2 linked regions of the Rattus norvegicus genome follow. The protein of the gene in region 2 purifies or fractionates together with the protein of the main gene of each other region. This does not show direct contact. Links are inferred from orthologs where the notes say so. Each region holds a gene or a part of one and is shown on either strand. Other genes may lie near its edges.

What was found.
Region 1: the proteins of Cfap20 (region 2) and Clasrp purify together in Homo sapiens (affinity purification with mass spectrometry; 3 studies listed by BioGRID and IntAct, counting the BioPlex papers as one, with this or other methods). This does not show direct contact. The link is inferred for Rattus norvegicus from reciprocal best matches to the Homo sapiens genes CFAP20 and CLASRP.

Annotation. Positions count from the first base shown.
Region 1 is NC_086019.1:88,357,240-88,367,622, forward strand, and holds the end of Clasrp (CLK4-associating serine/arginine rich protein), read right to left. Parts: intron 10,338-10,383; coding exon 10,264-10,337; intron 9,411-10,263; coding exon 9,369-9,410; intron 8,070-9,368; coding exon 7,854-8,069; intron 7,762-7,853; coding exon 7,492-7,761; intron 6,721-7,491; coding exon 6,463-6,720; intron 6,195-6,462; coding exon 6,155-6,194; intron 5,903-6,154; coding exon 5,842-5,902; intron 5,704-5,841; coding exon 5,645-5,703; intron 5,566-5,644; coding exon 5,519-5,565; coding exon of another isoform or gene 5,517-5,518; intron 3,994-5,516; coding exon of another isoform or gene 3,972-3,993; coding exon 3,889-3,971; intron 3,352-3,888; coding exon 3,327-3,351; intron 3,112-3,326; coding exon 3,069-3,111; 3' UTR 2,996-3,068; downstream 1-2,995. Other genes in the region: Zfp296 (zinc finger protein 296), read left to right, coding at 1-4, 1,565-2,514. UniProt on the Homo sapiens protein: Probably functions as an alternative splicing regulator. May regulate the mRNA splicing of genes such as CLK1. May act by regulating members of the CLK kinase family.
Region 2 is NC_086037.1:9,609,502-9,620,595, reverse strand, and holds the start of Cfap20 (cilia- and flagella-associated protein 20), read right to left. Parts: upstream 5,619-11,094; 5' UTR 5,393-5,618; coding exon 5,309-5,392; intron 1-5,308. UniProt on the Homo sapiens protein: Cilium- and flagellum-specific protein that plays a role in axonemal structure organization and motility. Microtubule inner protein (MIP) part of the dynein-decorated doublet microtubules (DMTs) in cilia axoneme, which is required for motile cilia beating.

The sequences.
Region 1 (10,383 bases), on a different chromosome or scaffold from region 2:
TCAGGTAAGTAATTCAGTGTGCAGTGCACGCCTGATCCAGGGTTGGACTTCCTGCCCTGCGGAGGAGCTAAGGTGGACAGATGGGGCACCAATCGTTACTTCCCCTTTCTCCTTGCTCCCCTTAGGGTAGAGCCTGGGCGTGGCTTGGTCTTGCCTGTCCTAGGGCAGGGACTAGAGATGGGGCGGGGGCTGGGCAGTGGAGGAAGGCCACCCACAAGGTGTGGCCAGCCCCAGAAGACTGGCCCGGGGTTTTGCCATACACCCCTAATTTAGTTTCACTTCTTCTTTCCCGTGGACAGAAATAACTGACCAGGTGGCTGGACCAGGGTTGGCAGTAGGGACCTAGTGGAGGATGGGACATTGGCCTGGGGAGTACCACACCTACTGTGTTTTGATCCTTCTCATTGAGGTTTAGACAGTTCAGAACCAGGGAAGGGTCATCTGGCTTGTTCCCCTTGCTGGGATCTCCCAGCAGAGTGCTGGGAAGCCCCTGGTCTGGGCGCTACATACTCGAGTTGTATGTGGGGGAGGAATTAGGACTGCGTGGTGTCTGTCCAGTGAACTCTTGTTATGAGATTTTAAAATATGGTCTGAACTTGAATTTCCAGCCCCCAGCTCATGTGGTGCCCAGGTGGAACTTGGGAAATGTAATTATATTTGGGGCTGGGATCCAATCAGCTTTGGTTGAGGGTGGGGCTAAGATGGGTCCACCTGAATAGCAACTCCAGCAATGACGTGTGGGCACTTGGTGTGGGTCTCTGCTGAATTTAACATTTTAGACAGGGTCTCATCCTGGCCTAGGCAGCTACTATTACTGTTATTATAGGCTTGGATAGTTGTGGGTACTTTGTTTTGTGAGACTGGGTTTCTAAGTAGCCCTGAGTGGCCTAGAACTCTGTAGACCAGGCTGGCCTCCAACTGAATAAAGATCTGCTTGCCTCTGCCTCCCCAGTGGTGGGATTAAAGGCGTGTGTCACCACCTTTGGCTTAGCTGTGGGTATTTTGCTATCTGAGGCTCAGCTCACAGTTGAGGGCTTATTATGGTGACCAAAACTCTCAGCTGTTCCCTATTTGAGGTCAGCCCTAGAAGGGCCACTCAGACTCCCCATACTCTAGCAGCTTAGGAAGCGGGCAGAGAGGGTCTAGTCCAAGGTTACACAGCTAGGGAGGAAAAGCCTTGAGTTTGACAGGTCTCTGTTTAGTTTTGGTCTGTGGTATCATAAAGGCCACCCCGTCCAGACTGGGATTGGGCTATCCAAAGTCTAATAGGTCTGGGGAGTGTCCTGTAGACACTATAGACACCATGAGCCTAGAAAAACATCAAATTTGGAATCCACACACCAGCCCACCTCCCCTAGTGTTGTTTCTGTGCCAAGCCCCAGCTCTGGGCTTTCATATTAAGATCTACTTTTTGAGCCTCTGTCCCTGCTTCCCCAATACCTTGGTGCCCCCCACCCCTACAAATATTAAAACCTGTTTATACTTCAGGAGGTTCCCTGAGGGCAGCATCTGTCATGTAGCATCCTATTGTGGTGATACTCACTGCCCCTTCCTTCCCTTTCAGAATCCAAAGAGCTGAAGGCTCTGAGCTGCCTCCAATGTGGCAGACAGTACACCAGTGCTTGGAAGTTGCTGTGCCACGCCCAGTGGGACCATGGGCTATGCATCTACCAGACACAACAATTGGAGACCCCAGAGGCTCCGTTGCTGGGCCTGGCTGAGGTGGCTGCAGCCATGTCAGCAGTGGCAGTGGTGGGGCCAGTTGAGGACAAGCCCCCTTCAGTGAGTAGCGCTGCCCGGCGGAGCCCTACCTGCTTCGTGTGTAAGAAGACCCTCAGCTCTTTCAGCAACCTCAAGGTCCACATGCGTTCCCACACTGGTGAGCGACCCTACTCCTGTGACCAGTGTTCCTATTCCTGCGCTCAGAGCAGCAAGCTGAACAGACACAAGAAGACCCATCGGCAGCCAACGCCTGGGAGCCCCTCCACTTCTGCCAGTAGCCGCGAAGTCTCCCCAGCAGCCCCTCCTGAACCAGCTGCCTATGCAGCTGCTCCAGCCAGCACTCCCCCATGCCAGAATGTGGAGAAGGCTGGAGCTGCCGCCACAGCCGGAATTCAGGAACCTGGGGCCCCTGGCAGTGGGGCTCAAGAGAGTCCAGGTTTTGGTGGCTGTGGAGCCACTGCCAAAGTAGAGAGGACGGACTCTGTAAAGATGGAGAAGACAACACCCAGGAAGAGTCACCGGGCTGGGGGCAAGTGTGAGTTCTGCGGGAAGTCCTTCACCAACAGCAGCAACCTCACGGTGCATCGGCGATCGCACACTGGCGAGCGGCCCTATACCTGTGACCAGTGTTCCTATGCCTGTGCCCAGAGCAGCAAGCTCAACCGCCACCGCCGCACACACGGGCTGGGAACTGGCAAGACTGTGTACAAGTGCCCGCACTGCCTCGTACCCTTTGTCCTGCAGGCCACGCTGGACAAGCACCTGAGGCAGAAGCACCCGGAGATGGCCTGAGATGTTCTGTACAGACAGGTGTTCCTCAGCAAGAGGACACGGCCAGCACTTAGCCATTCTTTTGTGTAAATAAACCATCTCCTATTTATTCGTGTGCCTGGACTTGGGCTTTCTTGGGGTGTCTGAGGTGGGATGCTCCCTCCATAGTGTGGACAGCTGGACAGACCGGTTTGGAGTGGGGGGTAAGTGCCCTGGGCACTGGAGGACTGGCACAGAAAGCTGTGCTCCCGGTTCTTGGTGTGGGTGAGGCCAGGGGCAGGGAGAGGCCTGGACCTGTCACCAGAGGCTTCTGGGCCCAGTCCAGTCCTATCCCGTCATCCACTGGCCCTGTCCACACATGCCATAGTCTGGGCCTTTGACTGGATTGGCCCCTTCCTCCTGCCCCTGCAGGCCTCACTCACCACACCCTGCAGGCTACCTACAGCACCTGCAGCAGTCTTCAGCCTGGAAGTTCTAAATTAGAGGACAGCATGTGGCGAAGTCCATTAAATAATGTTAGCTTTTATTTCACTACAGAAACCCAGCAGCATAACAGCCCCCAACTCTTCTTCTGCCTAATGTCTGTAATGGGGGCTTCGGGACCTGGACCTCGAACGCCTGCAGAGAAGGGGAAGACTATGAGGGTGGGATGCTGGGAGCCTCCCTCGCACCCACACATGCACCAACAGGCCTGGAGACAGTGCAGAGGGAGGAGTGCCTTCCGTAGGGAACAGGTACAGCCCCACCAAATGAGGGGGTATCAAAAGGAGGGACGCGGGGCACTTCTAGAAGAGCTGGAGGGTCACCCTTGGTGGTTGGGCTATCAGCCTCACCTGCGGGAAGAACTGTACTCTCGACCTGAAAAGAAAAGGAGGGTGATGTGATGCCAGCCAGTCTCCACGGGCCATCCTCACCCTTGCCAAAACATCTCTGTGCCAGGATCAAGCCCCTCCCCCCCACATTCTTAGCACTAAAGGGACAGATGCAGTCTGTATGCTTCAAGCAGTGTCTTACTGGTTTTTTTGTTTGTTTTGAGACCAGGGTCTTACTATTGTAGACCTAACTAGCCTCAAACTCTGAGAGCTTCCTGTCTCTGCCTTTGTACCTTCCTAGAGATGTGCCACAATACCTGGCTGTTAAAGACTTGAAAATAGTACCGTGGAGTCTTTCTGTAATCTAGGTTGCTCCCAAATACCAAATCATCTAGCCATCCTCCTACCTCAGTGCTGGTGTCTTACTGGGGGGGTGGGGAAGTGAACTTTTTATTTGAAGCGGGGATTTCTCCATGTAACCCAGGCTGGCCTCTACCTCTTCAGTGCTGGGACCACAGGGGTGAGCTGCTTGCTAGTGGTCTCCTACCCTGGTACTGCAGGAAGGGTGGGGGGGAACACTCACTGTAGCGTGGGGAGGGTGAGCGGCTCTGGCGGCTGTACTGGCGCTCCCATTCTTCTCTCTCCTTCTCTCGTCGCTCTCGCTCCCTGCAAGGGGAGAGGGGAGGCAACCAACAGGGAGGGGTGAGCACCTGCTGGGCTGTACACCTCCACCTAGACCAGGAAAGCCAAGCCTAGCACAGTAGAGGGCTGGCCAACTGTCTCCCCACAGGCAGGACTGGGAACCCTGGCAGCCTTGTCTATGCCCTGTTCTCCCAGGGGGTCTGTGAGAAGGACCGTATTCCTAAAGTGAGGCTTGGACATGGCTGATGCAGACAGGTGGTGAGGTAAAGTGGCTGAAAGAGCCAGAAGCCAACATGACCAAAGAGCAGAGCAAAGTCCCCAATGACTCTTCTAGGGCTCTGTCTTTGAGAAGGTAGTGAGCGCAGCTAGGACTGGTCTTGAACTCATCATCATCTGGTGGAATTGTACAGGCATGAAAATACCATGCCTGTGCTCTTGCTCTACCCCACAGCAGTGTCTGACACTCAATGAGCATGCCACACACATGTGACAGGACAGCTCAGAGTAAACACTGTGCCATAAGCATGACAACCCGAGTTCCATCCCCAGGTCCAACGCTGGAGAGTTCTGCTATCAATTCACAAGTTATCCCCTGGCCTCCACGCACATGCATGTGCACTGGCTGGCTGATATGTGCACTCACGCTCTCTCTCTCTCTCTCTCTCTCTCTCTCTCCACCCTTCTCCCTCTCACACCAAGATAAACACGGCCTTCCATGCCTGTAATCCCAGCACTTAGGAAGACAAAGCAGGATTGCTACAGATTCATAGCTAATCTGGGCTACAGAGTGAGTTACAGGCTACCTAGACCTACACTGTGAAACACTTATCTCACAAAAGAAAAACAAAAATGTAAATTATGTATATTGTAAAGAAATGACCAAGCAGGAGCTGGCCTGGGCACTGGGCAGCAGGCTGTGCCACAGCAGTTGGTGGCATGGCTTACCACAGAGATAGGAGCCATCCCCACCACTGTTCCAGAGGAAGACAACTGAGCTCAAGAAAGCAAAATGTTTGTTCCTCTACTTTGACACAAAGCAGAAAGAACTGTCAGGAGCAGGCCCCCATCCCTGACCGGCTCCCCTCTTTGCCAATACACAGTGTAACAGCCCAGGCTCTGACAGAGACCCTCAGGTAGTCATCCTAGCGCTTAGTTTGGTGGGCACTGAGGGGATGGCCCACTTGAGGCTCCAAGATGATAGGTACCCACCCCAGAGCCACCTGATCAGACTTAAGACAGCTGAAACTAAATCCCAAGCCTGTGGGCCCAGGCTCTGACTGGCCCAACACAGAGTGGAGGAAGAGAAAGAAGAGAAGAAGAAAAAGCTCTTGGGCCACAAGACTGGCCACAGGCAGCTTCACGTCACCAATTGTTAGGCATCAGACACCAAAGGACAGTTGCCAGGTATGGGGAGGTCAGGAGGTAAAGGCCTGGGGCATGTGGAGGGCGGGCAGGCAGGCAGGCAGGCTGCCAGGGGAAGAGGACAGCAGTAGTTGGGCTTCAGAACCAGTGAAAGGACCAAGGTGGCTCCAACTACAGGAGGCTGGGTGGACCACAGGTCGGAGCCTTACTTCATTCGGATCTTTCGGGCCATGGCTCGCAGTTCATCCTCGCGTTCCTGCAGCAGAAACAGCTATGAGGGGTGGTCCGGCCCCCCACTCTACCTGCATGCCCTGCCCATCCGAGCACAGCCTGACCTGCCGCTCGTGCTCCTGCTGGATCATCTTCTCCTGAGCTGCCTTCTTATCCGCCTTGACTGTGGATGGAGGGAGAAAGGGTGTGAGGCTGAGGGCTGGGCTCACAGTCCCCACACCAACTGGACCTGCTCAGGCAGGCTCAAGAGAGGTCAGCCCACTCTTCCCACAGCCCCAGCTGGACTGAAGGCAGGACTTACACTGGCGGTTCAGAGCCTTCTGCATCCGCAGCTTCAGCCTCTCCTGTGGGGTCAGCTTGGGCTGCGGGAGAAGGGGCGGGACAGGCGTGGGTGCCCAGAGCTCGCCCAGCCCACCTCAGCCAAGAGTCTGGACTTAGGGGTCAGCTGGAGCCCCATGGGAGGCAGGGAGGGGACTTAGTTTGCCTGGGTAGCCCTTCCCCAGTCCCTGGGCTGGCTCTCCCCTCCCCCTGGGCCCCCTGCAGGCCCACCAGGCCCAGCTCTGGACACTGCTGCTGACGGGAATTAGACGGGCGAGTTCCAAATTCTTACTGACTTTGGCAGCTCCTGTCTCTTTACCAGCGGCAGGTTCGGTCCTGGGTTTTGAGAGAAAATGGCAATGCCACTTTTACCATAAGCCTCAGGACTGGCATCAGCCATGAGCTCCAGACTCCTCAGGATATGTTCTAACCCTTATAACCTAGGCAGGACCACATCCCTGACAGCCTACTCAAGCCAAGGCCATGATGGCCCTGACCCCCCCCTGCAGTGCACACACCTCCCAGAATTGCCAGGATACTGCTACATTCCCTTCAAAATAAACTGAGGGGGGGTCCCTCAGCACCAGCCAGGCCCCTAACTCACTTTTTCAGCTTCTCGCCCACAGCAGGGGATGCTGCTGGCCTGGTCAGCTTCTCCCTTGGGGGCGATGGCGAGTGACTCTGGCTCTGGCTGTGGCTCTGGCTGCGGCTTCTGCTCCGGCTCTGGCTTCGGCTTCCACTCCGGGTCAGACTGCGGCTTCGGGAAGGGCTGAGGGACCAGCTGCTGCGGCTATGACTGCTGCTGTGGTGCCTGGGGCCCCGGGCACCCCGCTTATAGCGGTCACCTGAACGGGAGCGGCTCCTAGGTGTAACAGGAGGAGGAGGGCTGTGAGGCTCCAGGGACCTACAGGGAGTCACCCCAATTTCCAAATCCACTTTGCTCCACACCAATCTACAGGTTCTGCATCAGTTGCACAGCCCAGGGTTTCCCTTCTAGGAGCACTAGTAGTATTCTCAAGAAAGTAGTCACCCCAGGCTGGCATTCAATTTGTGATTGCCCTACCCCACCCCACCCCTGCCGCCGTTCCCCTGTGGTCATGCTACAGGAAAGACCCAGAAGCCATTTTCCAAGCACATAATTAATGAATCTCCCTAGGCTGATTAGTACTCGTCTTCAGTTCTGAGTGCATACTCAGTCTGGTAACATGCATGTTCAGCCTCCTGAGAGCAACAGAAAAATGACGGCTCGCCTAGCCATTAATGACTGATGGCCCCATAGCTGTGTCTGTTCTACAAAGAAATTCCAGCTGTGTCACTAAGCCTGGCCCTATACAAACTCCCCACTGCTGCTTTCCCCAACCAAACTTAAAAACAGCTACAGCCCACGCTCCTCTGTCCCCTGGGAACCCTCCCTCTTCTTCAAAGGATGTTGCCCTGCCCACGAGGTTCCCAGGTCCTGTAGACCGGGAAGTTCAAGCAAAAGCCAAGGAGATACCTCCATGCCCCGCCCCATACTTTGGGTACCCACCCCGTCCTTCTTCCAATCACGTGCTTCCCAAGAGAAGAGGGCTGGCCTGGTCTGTCCACAGCCCGCCTCCCCAGTACCCGCTCCTGCCCCGTCGCTATCACAGACCTGCTCCTTCGGCGGGGCGCGTACCCGCTGCGCCGGGCTGGCGAGCGTGAGTAGCGGTGTCCGTCGCGGGAACCACCGTCTGAGTGCCGTCGTCCACGGCTGCGGGAGCGGGAATAGCGCCGGGAACGGGAGCGCGAGCGGGACCAGGAGCGGGAGCGAGAGCGCGCGTGGCGGCCAGAACGGTAATAGCCACGGCGGGAGCGCGAGCTGGAGCGCGAACTGGATCGGGAACTGGAGGTCCTGGAGGCGGAGGACGAAGAGGAGCGGCGGCTGCGGGAGGACGGGGTTTGTCAACGACAACGTCCTAGGGGGCCCGTCCCTCCACCCGGCGGTCAGCTAGGGCAGGCACGAGCGTTACCGACCGGGCGCTGGCATTACGGCCTGGAGCGGGGCCACCCGGTTGGGGAGGCGCGGGGGGCTTCCCTGGGGCAGCCCCGGATGCGGCGGCTGCAGCAGCTGCTGCAGCTGCCTCCTCGTCGCTGCCTCCAAAACTCGTGATAAAAGTGATTTTTTCCTCGCGGCCTGGGCTCGGGGAGCGAGAGCGGGAGCGGGACTCGGAACTGGATTCCGAAGGTGACCTGCAGCCAGAGGGCGGGCAAAAGAGAGGCAGCATTCAGAGCCCCAGCTGTACCAGAGCCCTAGTGGGATGTATGAATTCAAGTCTAGCCTGGTATACATACATTGCGAGGTCAAGAGCTACATAGAAAGTCCTTGTCTCAAAATATAAATATATATATGTGTGTGTGTGTGTGTGTGTGTGTGTGTGTATGGTATACATACATTGCGAGGTCAAGAGCTACATAGAAAGTCCTTGTCTCAAAATATAAATATATATATATGTGTGTGTGTGTGTGTGTGTGTGTGTGTGTGTATATATATATATATATATAATTTTTATTTTATTTTTTTTACTAAATAAGTCTGTGACTGGTGGGATGGCTCAGCAGGTAAGGCTTTTGCCTCCAAGCCTGAAAACCTCAGGTCAATCCCAGAATCTAAACGGTAGAACGAGAGCTGACTCTAAGCTGTCCTTTTATTTTCAGCCCTGTGGCACATGTGCACCACCCCGACCCAGACTGATAAATGTAATTTTTCAGAAAATGGGGGGTGGGGGGTTTGAAGGGAGGGGTAGTGGCACACACCCTTAATCCCAGCAGTGAGAAGGCTAAGGCCGGCAGATCTCAGTTTGAGGCCAGCATAGAGAGTTCCAGGACAACCAGGGCTACATAAGAGTCCTTGTCTCAATGTCTCAATAAGCAACAACCACAAAACCCAAAACAAACAAAAGAAAAAAAAAAAAAAAAAAAAGGCTGGCTTTCTGTGCTAGTTAAAAAACGAAAGACTAGGTGTAATGCAAAGAAGGCTTTGCCTATGCAAGAGACCCTGGGTTCCAGTCCTAGAACAGAAGCAAAACACAGTGAGGTCTTCCTGTCAACCTAGAGAGGAACTCAACTAATTCCATCCCATAAAATACGGACCCAGGACCCAGTGTTTTCCCTTTAGGGAAAAGCAGGCCAACAAAAGGTCCCTGGCCCACCAGGCCCCACCCCCTGGCCTTAGGAAAGAGAGAGGGAAGTTAGACTGGACTGCCCTCTACAACCCAACACCCCGGGACTGCACCCTGGAGCCTGTCAGTGCCTGGCCTTTCTAATTCTAGGAATCTTGTGTTAAAGACACCCAATATTCATGTCCTTTTATGTCATATTTGATTGTATCACAAGTCTGTACGTTAACATTGGAAGAAAATAGAGATTCTGAATTTTAAAAACACTGATGAAGACCCAACCCCCACCCACAGACCACAGGATGCCATCTGCCACAGGCATGGCCAAAAGGTCAGTATCAATGACAGCGTCTTCCAGGGCACTGACACTTACCGCTTATAGGGGTCATAGGTGGGGCTGTCTCGGCGGGCATAACTACGGAGAGAACAGGGAAGGACAGGAGAGCTGGGACCAGGCTGACTGGTGTGAAGCTGGCCCTATCCCTCCCTGAACTCCAGTGCTGCAGATTGTGCACCCCATCTCATTATGGGGACCACACAGCTGTCTCCTTATTACAGCACGAGACTCTGAGCAACAGCAACCAGAACAGACAGCCCTGGCCCTGCCTGGCCTTCCAATGCCGCACTGGAAGCCATGATGACCAGTCCCAGATCAATGCTGTCGTGAAAACAGTGACCAACCTAACTCAGTGACTTATCCCAAATCTGAGGATTCACTCTTCATACGGGAGAAACAGTCCCTGTGAGGGCAAGTGACTTCCTAGGGTGGCACCATCCCTAGTGAGGAGCCAAGGTCCCAGCTCAGGCCTGTGGCCTGCAGCTACCCTCACTGCACACCACCATCACTCCCGACCCTTCACCAGGCATATGCCTGGGCTCCCGGGCCCAGAGTCTTCACTAGCCTCATCTGCTCTACCCAATCCTCTCTCAAGACTGCCTAGGCCTCTCTACTTCCCAGTGGAAGAAAACTATAGCTAGAATGGAGTCACTTGTCTAGACCCTGTAGACATGACACTGACCAGCACAGGTGGTCATAGGTTCTGGCCACAATTCCCCCAGCCACCCCCAGCAGCCTCCTGTTCCACTCCCCAAGAGTCCCCAGTCCAGCAGGGTGGTGACTGGAAGGTGGGGCAGGTGGCCTCCCAGGCTACTCCTAGCTCTATTGGCTGTCAACCATGTGCATCATCACAGTTTTGCTGAAGTCGAGGCCAGGCTCCACTTTTGAGCCCCTGGCAGTTGAGGAGGGTTGCCCAGGGGAGAAATCCTACCTGGGAGGGCTAATCTTACGGCCCCTCAGCCGCTTCTCCCGGAACTCTCTTCGCTGTCGCCGTGAACGACGGCCCTAGGTGGGGAGTGCCAGGACAGTAAGGGGTGTGCCCTCCCTGGAG
Region 2 (11,094 bases):
CAGGACTCTGCACGCACGCACGCACAGAGATCCCTCAACCTTTGAAGTCAGCGTGATAGCGACGCACCTCTGGATGTCTGCTATGTGCTTCCAGAGAAGTTTAATGAGAGAAGACCCACCCCAAATGTGGGTGGTACCAATCCATCTTCGGTTCAGACTCCATCACTGAATAAAAAGGAGAAAAGATGGGGGCTGGAGCGATGGCTCAGTAGTTAAGAGCACTGGCCCAGCACACACATATCAGTTCAAACTGTGTGCAGCTCTGGTTTCAGGGGATTGGCACCCTCACACAGATATACATGCAGGCAAAACGCCAAGTGGAGATAACCAATGGACAATAATAAATAAACAAACTAATGAACATCAAATATAGATAAATAAAAGATTTAAAGAGTAAAAAAGAAATGCAAGATTAGTGTCAAAATTCTCTGCTCACTGACTCCTGATCTTCATAGGTGTGGAGTCCCAGATGCCTGTCCCTGCTACCACGAACTTGGCCACACCTTTCTCCCTACTCCTACTTTCTCCTTAGACCAAGAGCCAAACAATAACTTTCTTACCTTAAGTTATTCTGCCACAGCAGCTAAAAAGCAACAAAATTATTATCAGCATGCACAGTAACAGGTTTAACAGGTACAGTGGCTGCACTTAGGGGGCTGAGGCAGAAGGATCGCTACCTTAGGCTTCTAACTCCAGTTCAGTCTGGGCACATTGTTAAGATCTGAGTTTGGATCCTCAGCACCCACGTAAGCCGGGAAAGGCAATGCATTGCCTATAACCCCAGCACTGGGAGGTGGGGATGGGCAGTCTGGGTTCAATACCTAGCCAGCTTATGTCTACCTCCAGCTTCCACAAGCAAACACGTCAGCACATACACCCCACACATATGCATGCACACACACACACTACTCATGAGAACCCAAAAAAGGAAGAAAATGAATGGACTTCATAATGACATATGTAAACGTTATTATATTGTATTCTTATTCATCCCTGTGCACCTTGGCCCATCATCCTACACACAAAGTATATGGCAGCTTTTGAACCCAAGGCACTGGCAATTAGAGACGAGAGTGATCCTCGGATTCCAGACACCAGGGGAGCAAACCTTCAGCTCATCTCAGTCATTCTCCCAGGCTCTTCATGGTTGCTGGGCAACTAATAAAGAACACTGATCTTCCCCCTTCTCTGTGTAAGCCCTAGGGAAGAGGGTCAAGATGAGGGAAAAATAATACTACAGGGATAGGGAGGAAGCTGGCCAATCTCCACAGTTCTACAGAGTGATTCAAAAATAACACATTAGCTGCACCATTCCCTCTGCCCGCCTCCCCCACTTTCATTTTCTGGCTGCACTCACTCACTCTGCAGCTGAAACCTCAGCCATCTGGCATGTCCTCTTACTGACACATGTCCCGACTTACATTAAGCCCCTAAAGCTGTCTCCTGCAGCAGGAAGTATGTGCCCAGGGCCAGGGACCTGGCTCCAAGTCAGAAAACAGGGAGAGGGAGCCCTCTGTGGGAAACTGTGGTCAGAGCTCAGCCGCAGGGACCTTGGGCTGCTCTCCACCTGCAGTACTTTTACAAGTACTAACACACGACAGGCAGCTCCAGACACATGCAAATGATCCCTTTAGCTAATCTGGGTACCACAGTGTGTCTTTCTTTCTCTTCCTTCCTTTCTTCCTCTCTTGTACTCCCTCACTTTCTCTCTCCCTCTTTCTTTCCAGACCGGGTTTCTCTGTACCCCTGGTTGTCCTGGAACTCACTCTGTAGACCAGGATGGCTTCAAACTCTCGGAGATCCACCTGCCTACTGGGATTAAAGGTGAGCACCAGCAGCACCTTGTTCATAGTGTTTCTTGAAAGGGCACAAGTAAACGGAACCCACTGTTTCCATCCTGTTACAGTAAAAGATATTATTCATAAAAATAAAGACAGCCTTGGAAAGTGAAAATCATTTTACTCTTTCTATCCAAAGACACTCAGTTCCATTCATGGAGGCCAGATAGATTTAGCACATATCAACAAGATTTATTAAATTAAAAGTCAGAGTCTAGGGCCAGCAAAGTAAGTAAGATAAACCTTATTGCAGCCAAGTCTGATGTCCTGAGTTCAATTCTTGAACCCACATGGTGAAAGGAAAGAACTGACTCCTAACTCCTATAACTGGTTCTTTGACTTCTGTGGGCATAGGCAAGAACATGTACACACACACACACACACACACACACACACACACACACACACACACACACACTAAACAAAAATGTAGTGACTTTTTTTTAAACTTTGGAGAGGGACTTTATTCTTTCCTAAAATGAGAAACAGGGACCCAGGCATCATGACCACTTAACAAGATCAACAACAGACTCTGATAAAGTCACATTCCATGGAGAAACATCAGCAGCTGGGAGGAGAGAAGAGAGAGCAGAACTCACAAATCAGTCTGATGGGCTTCTAGTAGCAACACAAGCCAGTCCCATGGACTTCCAGCGCAGCAGCAAAGAGGACTGAAGCTCATGCAGTACAGTGCAGGATGAGGAACACTCTGTTTTTTATTTTTGTTTTGAGACAATAACTCACTAGGTCACCCTGGTTAGTCACCCTAGGACTCGCTGTATTCACCAGGCTAGACTCAAACTCAGAGACTCCTCTGCCCTTGCCTCCTCAGTGCTGGGATTAAAGCTGTACCCACCCAGCCCTAACATTCTTAATAACGACAGTCGGATCTGGTGGTTCCAGAAGTCAAGCAACATTAAAGAGCCTGTTGAGGGGGCTGGAGAGATGGCTCAGTGGTTAAGAGCACCGACTGCTCTTCCTGAGGTCCTGAGTTCAAATCCCAGCAACCACATGGTGGCTTACAACCATCTGTAATGAGATCTGATGCCCTCTTCTGGTGCATCTGAAGGCAGTTACAGTGTACTCATATACAATAAAATAAAATCTTAAAAAAATAAATTTATAAGAGCCTGTTGATTCTTTCTGAGCTCTTGGTCTGAAAACCAATAAAGATTTGTCTCAGATCTTAAGTAAGTCCCAGCGTGACAAGGAGGATGCAGAGGCTGGGAGCTGACAAACTGAGCCTGCAGGGCCAAGGCAGCACCAGAGGTACTGCTTCCTCTGCACTGAGCCGGAGACCAAGGAAGATGTGGGTGGACTTGGGGTGAAAGCCAGCACCAACCAGTGCGGGAGGTTTTACACTGCAGAGAGCTTCATGGCCTTCACATGCAGGAGTCTGTTTCTAAGGAGGGGCCAGTGAGTGAGCCTGGACAACTAGTTAGACAGATGCCAGCCATTAGAGGTTTGGGAGAGGAAAAGCCAAGGGACGATGACTGCACCGTCTTAATTTCAGAAGCCTAAGCAGATGCTATACCCAATCCTTCAAGATTGTTGTTTTATGGAAGCCAAGTAGGCATTCTCTCTGTGCACAAATGCAAAAGTCAGAATAGTAAATATTTGTGATATCAAAATGGAACCCAAAATAGTCCTCAGTCAGTGTGTAGTGTCTACTGGCAAAGGGCCAAGCCACGTGTAGGTAACAGACAGCCCTATCATCCTCTACCCTACAACCAGACCTTACTTCTCAGGAAAAGGGCAGTTCCCCCTCAATTCTGTATCCGTAGACAATGCCTGTCACTCAGGTGTTGCTCAGTAAATCCCTGATAAACATGATCGATAAACATGACCAGTTCCCAGGGTCTCCTTGACTGGACTGTTCCCAGTTACTGGGAACTTCATAACTTAACTCAGGAAAGGCCTGAACACAGCAAAGCTAACCTGGAGGCCGAACTTCCCCTCCATCCTTGCCTCCTCTTGCTTCAACTGGAGAAAACCTCTCCCTTAAATGCTAAGTCTGTCAAATCCAAACAAGAGTTGGAAACATAACTAATTTCTTTCCAAAATGTCTGTTTAATTTGCTCCATGTAACTCTGCTCCAACAATGTTTCTTACGTGTTTATGTCATCAGGGTACCATTGGCCCTTTAGAGGCGTTGTTAAGGGACACAGCGAGCGCACCATGGTTACTCTGCTTTCTCTGCCATGTGTAAACATGGTGACCAGTCAAAAAGTCGGGCTTGAAAAAAAAAAATAAACCACATCTCAGATCAAAACCAGGGGGGAAATGAATGCCTCTGAGAGAAGCTTCGACACTTCTCTCCCATCGTAACTGTCCAGATACCAAGCTGGTGAGCATCCTCCTCCAAACACTGCCAGGTGGACTTGCTCTGGGTTCTCGGTGCAGAGGTCTGATTTAAGAACTCCTGATGCTTCATTTCAAAATGAATAAACACTCAGGAGAATGGGGGAAGTTAAGGGTCTGCTTCCTACGCCATACTCTTGACATAACTCTGGCTATGGATCTGAAAGAGTTGGTCAGACTGCTCACGTACCAAAGGCCAGATCTTGTTGAGCTCTCAACTGACTTGGCCAAATGACACGATACTTCCAACAGGCTTCTCTCAAAACTGTCCTCAGAACACACGACTCTCTAGCAGTGACAAGCTGAAGGCAAGTCAGGTACTCTGTCAACCACTATGCGCCTCAAAGCCCTCCTCTGTGAATTAGGAAAGACACTGCATTGTTCTCGTTCCACTAACAATAATCTTGACTTATTCCACCCATTCTATATACATCTCTATGAACACCACCTCTCTCCATCTTCCCCCGCCGAGGGCAGAACTAAAGCTACTCCCTAAATCACCTGGCTTCCGCATTAGAGTGCCCACTTTGTATTTAAAAAAAAAAAAAAACGAATCTTCACGAGAAAAGAAACGCCAAGGCATTTCTGCTAGCTCTTAACATCTCCAAAAGTGAGCAGGGAAGGCCACCATCTCATGTGGCAAACGAAGATACCATCCATTCCAGAGGACGGCTAGATAAAAATACGGAGGCTTGACACTGGGTCTGCACTTGCGGCTCTTGAGAAGCCTCTAACAATCACCTTTGTGCAGTTTTCGGAGAAAGCCGGTACAGGAGGAACAGTACGGACTCTAAGTTAAAGAAAGCTCGCAGCCAAGTTCCAAAGGTCAGGCTATCGGCGGTCAATGAAATGGAGGGGGCTAATGAATGAGACCGGAACACCTCTGGCTTGGCCGGTGCTCAGGATGCCCGGGAAAGAGGCCCTCTGTCTAGAGGGCAGCACAATGCCTGGTATCAGCGAACACATGCATGTCTTTCATCAAAGGACTATGCGTTTCAAGCTAGGCTGTGGACCCTGCACCCATTCTACTGACCAGGAAGCCGAGGCTCAGTAGCCACACCATTTCGTGGGCGGCGAGTGCCCCGCCCACACCCCGCCCCATCGCTCACCTTTTTGTCCCAGATCTGCAGGGGCTTGCTGCCGATGCTGTAGAGGATGGAGAGGAAGCCGCTCTGGAACGTGTTCTTGAACATCTCGCCAGCCGCGGCCCCGCAGCCGCCCTAGGCCCGGGACTGGAAATCGGAACCGAACGGCGAAAGAGAGAGGGTGCCGCCGGTCCGAAGGAAGGACACTGAGCTGCAGCCACTGACGGCGGGAAGCGGCGGATCCGCAAGCCTCGGTGAACACACAGCCACCTCAGCACCGAAACCACAGCAACTGCCGCCCGCGCCGCCAAGCCTGCCTGAGAGGAGGCGGAGCGCCGCCGCGGCCAGCCACGGATCCCTCCGCACGCCTGGGCCCGCCTCCCGGAGGCGCATCACCCAGTCCTACCGCAGAAAGAGCGGTTTCCGGTTCCTTCCGCCCTTAGGCCCGCCCCTTCCTGCCCCCTCCGGAGCGGAACTCGGTTGCCAAGGGACTATTCCCCGCCCCTCCCCACTGCAGCCGAGACTTGCTTCAGAACAGCGGAAGGAGACGTAAGAAGTTACCGCACGTGTTTACAGTGCCTGCGTGGTGTCATGGGAACCGGGAGGCGTGTGGAGGGGTGGAGTCACGCCAGACACCTCCCCTGAAGGGCGGGAAGAGTAAGGAAGGTGGCTTTGTGCCAAGTACAGATAAGCATTACCCTCGGTGTGTTGATGCCAGACTTTAATCCTAGCACCGGATTTAATCCCAGCAGAGGCAGAAAGTTCTCTGTATTTGAGGCCAGCCTGGAGTACATAACTAACTCCAGGACAGCCAGGACTCGGAGACACCCTGTCTCAAAAAACAAATGTGGGTTGGCCCAGGAGAACAGGAGACAGAAGAATGTGTAAGCTAATGAATCAGTATTGAGTGCCCTATTTACATCATCATCTTTAGTTATCAAGTCACGGTGAGTGAGACGATGTGAAAGCAATACCCTGGGGAAAACATCTCTTTAAATGCATTGATCCGAAAACAAGAAAGCCTGAACATTAAGATATAAGCGAAAATTGGGCTGGAGAGATGGCTCAGCGGTTAAGAGCACCCGACTGCTCTTCCAGAGGTTATGAGTTCAATTCCCAGCAACCACATGGTGGCTCACAACCATCTGTAAAGAGATCCGATGCCCTCTTCTGGTGTATCTGAAGACAGCTACAGTGTACTTATATATAATAAATAAATAAATCTTTAAAAAAAAAGATATAAGCGAAAATTAATAAAAATTAAACACAATTGGACTGGTCCAGTTGAACCAATAGCTGATTCGGGTTTTTTGTTTGTTTGTTTGTTTGTTTGGTTGGTTGGTTGGTTGGTTTTTTTCTTTTTTTTTTCGGAGCTGGGGACCCAGGGCCTTGCGCTTGCTAGGCAAGTGCTCTACCACTGAGCTAAATTCCCCAACCCCAGCTGATTCGTTTTAAAGAGTTTGAAGCAAAGGCAATCACTTTAGCAATTTTAACGATCATAGTTGCAAAGTTTACACGTTTACTGTGTGACAGGTATAGGCAGCGCCTTACCTTGCATTAACTCACTCAACCCTCACACCAGAACTTTGAGTACTCCAGCCAGAATTTCTAGATATCGTGAAAAATATGTGAATCTATTACTGTATAAAAATGAAACTTGTTATATGGAATTTATTTTTGCATGATATCTGGAGATTCTTTATGTACTCTAAGCCAAGTGAATAATTTATAACTTGTTTTTAAGTTGTTCAGAATATCCTCAGGAGGAAAACGATTCAACATAAGAAAGAAATGATGGCGTATGAGTTTCTATGGTGATTTAAATGTTGCATATAATTAACCACTTGATATCTTAGAAAAAGTAAGTTATTTCTAGAAATAATTCACCAGTACTAAGTCTGGAAATAGAAAACGGAATGACTAATAAATAATTAAGGTAATAACTGAACTCCTCAGGAGGTTCTGAACCCTGTCTCATGGCTTTTTTTTTCTGATTAATGTAATACAGATTATTGAGGAAGCTATAAAAAGTAACATTACAGTCACTCATAATATCACCATTCAGAAATAATTGTATGCCTCTGTATATTGTCCCCATGGCTACCTGCCCAGTCCTCCTTAATCTGCCCTCATCCCATCACATATTAATGTGTGCAGACAGCCTCAGAGGCTGTGGTTGCTAAGATCCATCCTCTGGACCAGTGCGTGTGGAATCCATCACTGTCCTCCCAGCCAGGCATCTGCATTTATCTCTCCCCTCCCCCAGGAATGGCCATCTTTATACATCTTCCCCTTAAAAACCCGGATGAGAACTTCTTTGGCTTGTGTGTCTGCTCCAGAGTTACTAGATAGGAATAAACACGGTCCAGTTGGACCGAATGGCTCTTGCAAATCATGTAGCCATTGACGTTCCCACAGACAATGCGTATAGTGACAACCATTAGTCTGCTTTCTAAAATTTGCAGGTCTGAACTATGTACATGTTGTTTTGGCTTATTTTTTTCACTTTCTGACTACTATTAGGCTGGCTCATCTTTTCATAGGCATTTAAAATTAATTTAAAGTCACTTCTATGTTTTTATTATATGTGTATGGGGATGTCTCTCCCTGCATGGATGTCTGTGCACCCTCCCCCAGTGCTCTTAACCGCGGAGCCGTCTCTCCCGCCCCTCTTCGCAGGTGTGTAATTGCTTTTATTTGGGGTGGGCAAGAGGGATTCGTTGGTAAAGACACCTGTCACGAAGCCTGAGGATCTGACCCACAGGATAGATGAGTGACTGCCTCAATTTGTTCTCTGAGCTTCCTACACACACACATCCCTCCTCTCACACACACAGAGACTTTATTTTTTAATTGCTCGTTTGTGTTTTTTACCCACGTCTCCACTGAGGCTCTTCATCCTTTATTGGTTTGTGAGGCCTAGCATTCACCTCAGAAGCATCTGCTGCTGAGTGGCGTTGACAGCTTTGCTTTCCTATGTAGGCCACCCATTTCTGTCAGTGGCACGTCCGAGACCTCCTTTTCTCAGTGGTTTTCAAGACCACTTTTGTGTATAATAAGTTTCCATATTTACACCTGTCTCTTTCTGAGCTCTCTCTTCTAGTCTCCTGTTCAAAGTGCTTATACAAAACGCCAGTTGCAGGCCTTTAATCCCAGCACTCAAGGGGCAGAGGAGGCAGAGGAAACAGAGGCAGAGGAAACAGAGGCAGAGGCAGAGGCAGAGAGGCAGAGAGGCAGAGAGGCAGAGAGAGAGGCAGAGGCAGAGAGGTAGAGAGGTAGAGAGGCAGAGAGGCAGAGAGGCAGAGAGAGGCAGAGAGAGAGGCAGAGGCAGAGAGAGGCAGAGAGAGAGGCAGAGGCAGAGAGGTAGAGAGGTAGAGAGGCAGAGAGGCAGAGAGGCAGAGAGAGGCAGAGAGAGAGGCAGAGGCAGAGAGAGGCAGAGAGAGAGGCAGAGGCGCAGAGAGGCAGAGGCAGATGGCTTTCTGACTTTGAGGCCTACCTGTTCTACACAGTGAGTTCCAAGACAGCTAGGGTTACAGAGAAACCTTGCCTTGAAAAATCCAAAGGGAAAAAGAAAGCAGTGCTTATACCGATACAGACTACATTTATGTCAGTGTTGTGGTGTACCTTGATATATCTAACAGGGCAAACATTTTCTATTTTTCCAAAGCTAGTTTGTAACAGGTCTTTGTTATTTTGTGCATTCTTTTTCCCCCCACCCTCTATCCCCCTGCTCTTGGTTTCACCCCCTATGACTAGAGAGGAGATAAAGAAGGATGAAGGACTCTGAATCTAATTTCTTTTTTCTTTTGTTTCTTCTTTAAGCGTAACTACTAGCAACCAATCACCAACCACCAACCCTGCCTCTTTGGGCCGTAGCATTTATATAGCCTCTGAAAAATCTCCCAGAATTCTATCTGCAGCAGACAAAACAACGCCTCTGCTAGAGCAAGAGGCAAATCATAGTCAACTGCTGTGGACAGTCTGAAACGGCCCCATATCCCACACCTGGGATTAAAAAGAAAGCACATTCTTGTAATATTTCCATGTTTTTTATTTTAGAGATCAAAATTCCAGAATTGTCAGTGCACTAGTTTGTCTAATATTCATGGGGTTTTATTTTTCCATTCAGATTTTACAGTAAATTTATTGTTCAATTTTGATTAAGATTAGATTGTTGTTGTTGTTTTTTTTTTTTCTTTCTTTCTTTTTTTTTTTTTCGGAGCTGGGGGACCGAACCCAGGGCAAGCGCTCTACCACTGAGCTAAATCCCCAACCCCTAAGATTAGATTGTTATAGGGCTGGAGAGATGGCTCAGTGGTTAAGAGCGCTGACTGCTCTTCCAGAGGTCAGGAGTTCAATTCCCAGCAACCACATGGTGGCTCACAACCATCTGTAATGGGACCTGATGTCCTCTTCTGGTGTGTCTGAAGACAGCTACAGTGTACTCAATATAAAATAGATAAATCTTTAAAAAAAGATTAGATTGTTATAGATTTGTTTAACAAAAGTGTCTTGCCGAGCTTGGTGGTATACACCTTTTACCCAGCATTCCAGAGGCAGGAGTAGACGGATCTCGGAGTTTGAGGCCAGTCTAGTCCTACAGAGCGAGTTCCAGGACAGCCAAGGCTACATAGACCCTGTCTAAAAAGGGAAATAAAATAAAATAAAAAACAAACTTACTTTCATACTTCCTATGGCTGCCACGACAAATGACACTCACTGTCTTAGGGTTTAACTGCTGTGAACAGACATCATTACTAAGGCAACTCTTATAAGGACAACATTTAATTGGGGCTGGCTTACATGTTCAGAGGTTCAGTCCATAATCATTAAGGTGGGAGCAGGACAGCATCCTGGCAGCCATCGTGCAGGAGGAGCTGAGAGTTCTACATCTTCCTCTGAAGGCTGCTAGTGGAATACTGGCTTGCAGGCAGCTAGGATGACTGTGTTAAAGCCACAGTGACACACCCACTCCAACAAGGTCACACCTCCTAATAGCGCCACTCCCTGGGCCAAGCTTATTCAAACCATCACAGACGCCATAGTACATCCTCAGTGACCCAAAACAACAGAACTTTTTTCTGTCCTGGAGGTGGGGTGTCCAAAATCAGTGTTGTCAGAGCCACTCAACTTCGAAGATGTTAGAGGGAAAAAAATCCTTCCTGGCCTGAGTAATTCTTGGCTGACGGTAATATAAAAACTCTCCATTCATTTTCACACGGCTGCTTTCTTCTCTTCTGTATCCACTAATAAGGATACTCGCCGTCAGATTTAAGGCCCACCTTGAATCCAGTACACCATTTTGAGATCCTTAACTACTGCCTTAGCTCCTGTTCTAGTGCTGTAGAGAGACAGCATGACCGAAGCAGCTTATATAAGAAAGCATGTGACTGGGGGCTCGCTTCTAGCTCCAGAGGGTTAGTCCAGGGCCATCATTTTGTTGAGTGTGGTGCAGCCATGGCCCTGGAGCAGTAGAGAACAGCTTACATCCTGATCCACAGGTAGCAGGTAGAGAATGGGACGAAGCTCGTCACAGGCTTCTGAAACCTCACAGTTTTTCCCGCAGTGACACACATCCTCCAACAAGTCCTGCTGCTATGGGCTAGTCACCAGAGAAGACTGCTCGGACATGAGTTAAGCCAATAGAAAGTCTTCATTCGCCAGTGTACAGCTGTTAAGTGTTGGGATCAGGATCCCAGGAGAGGTCTGAGCTCTCCTCAGGGTGAGCTTTTAAGCATAAAATCCATGTTCTGAGTTAACACACTTCAATTAGCAAGAACGGTTAGCCAGAAGCAGAACTACAGAAGCCA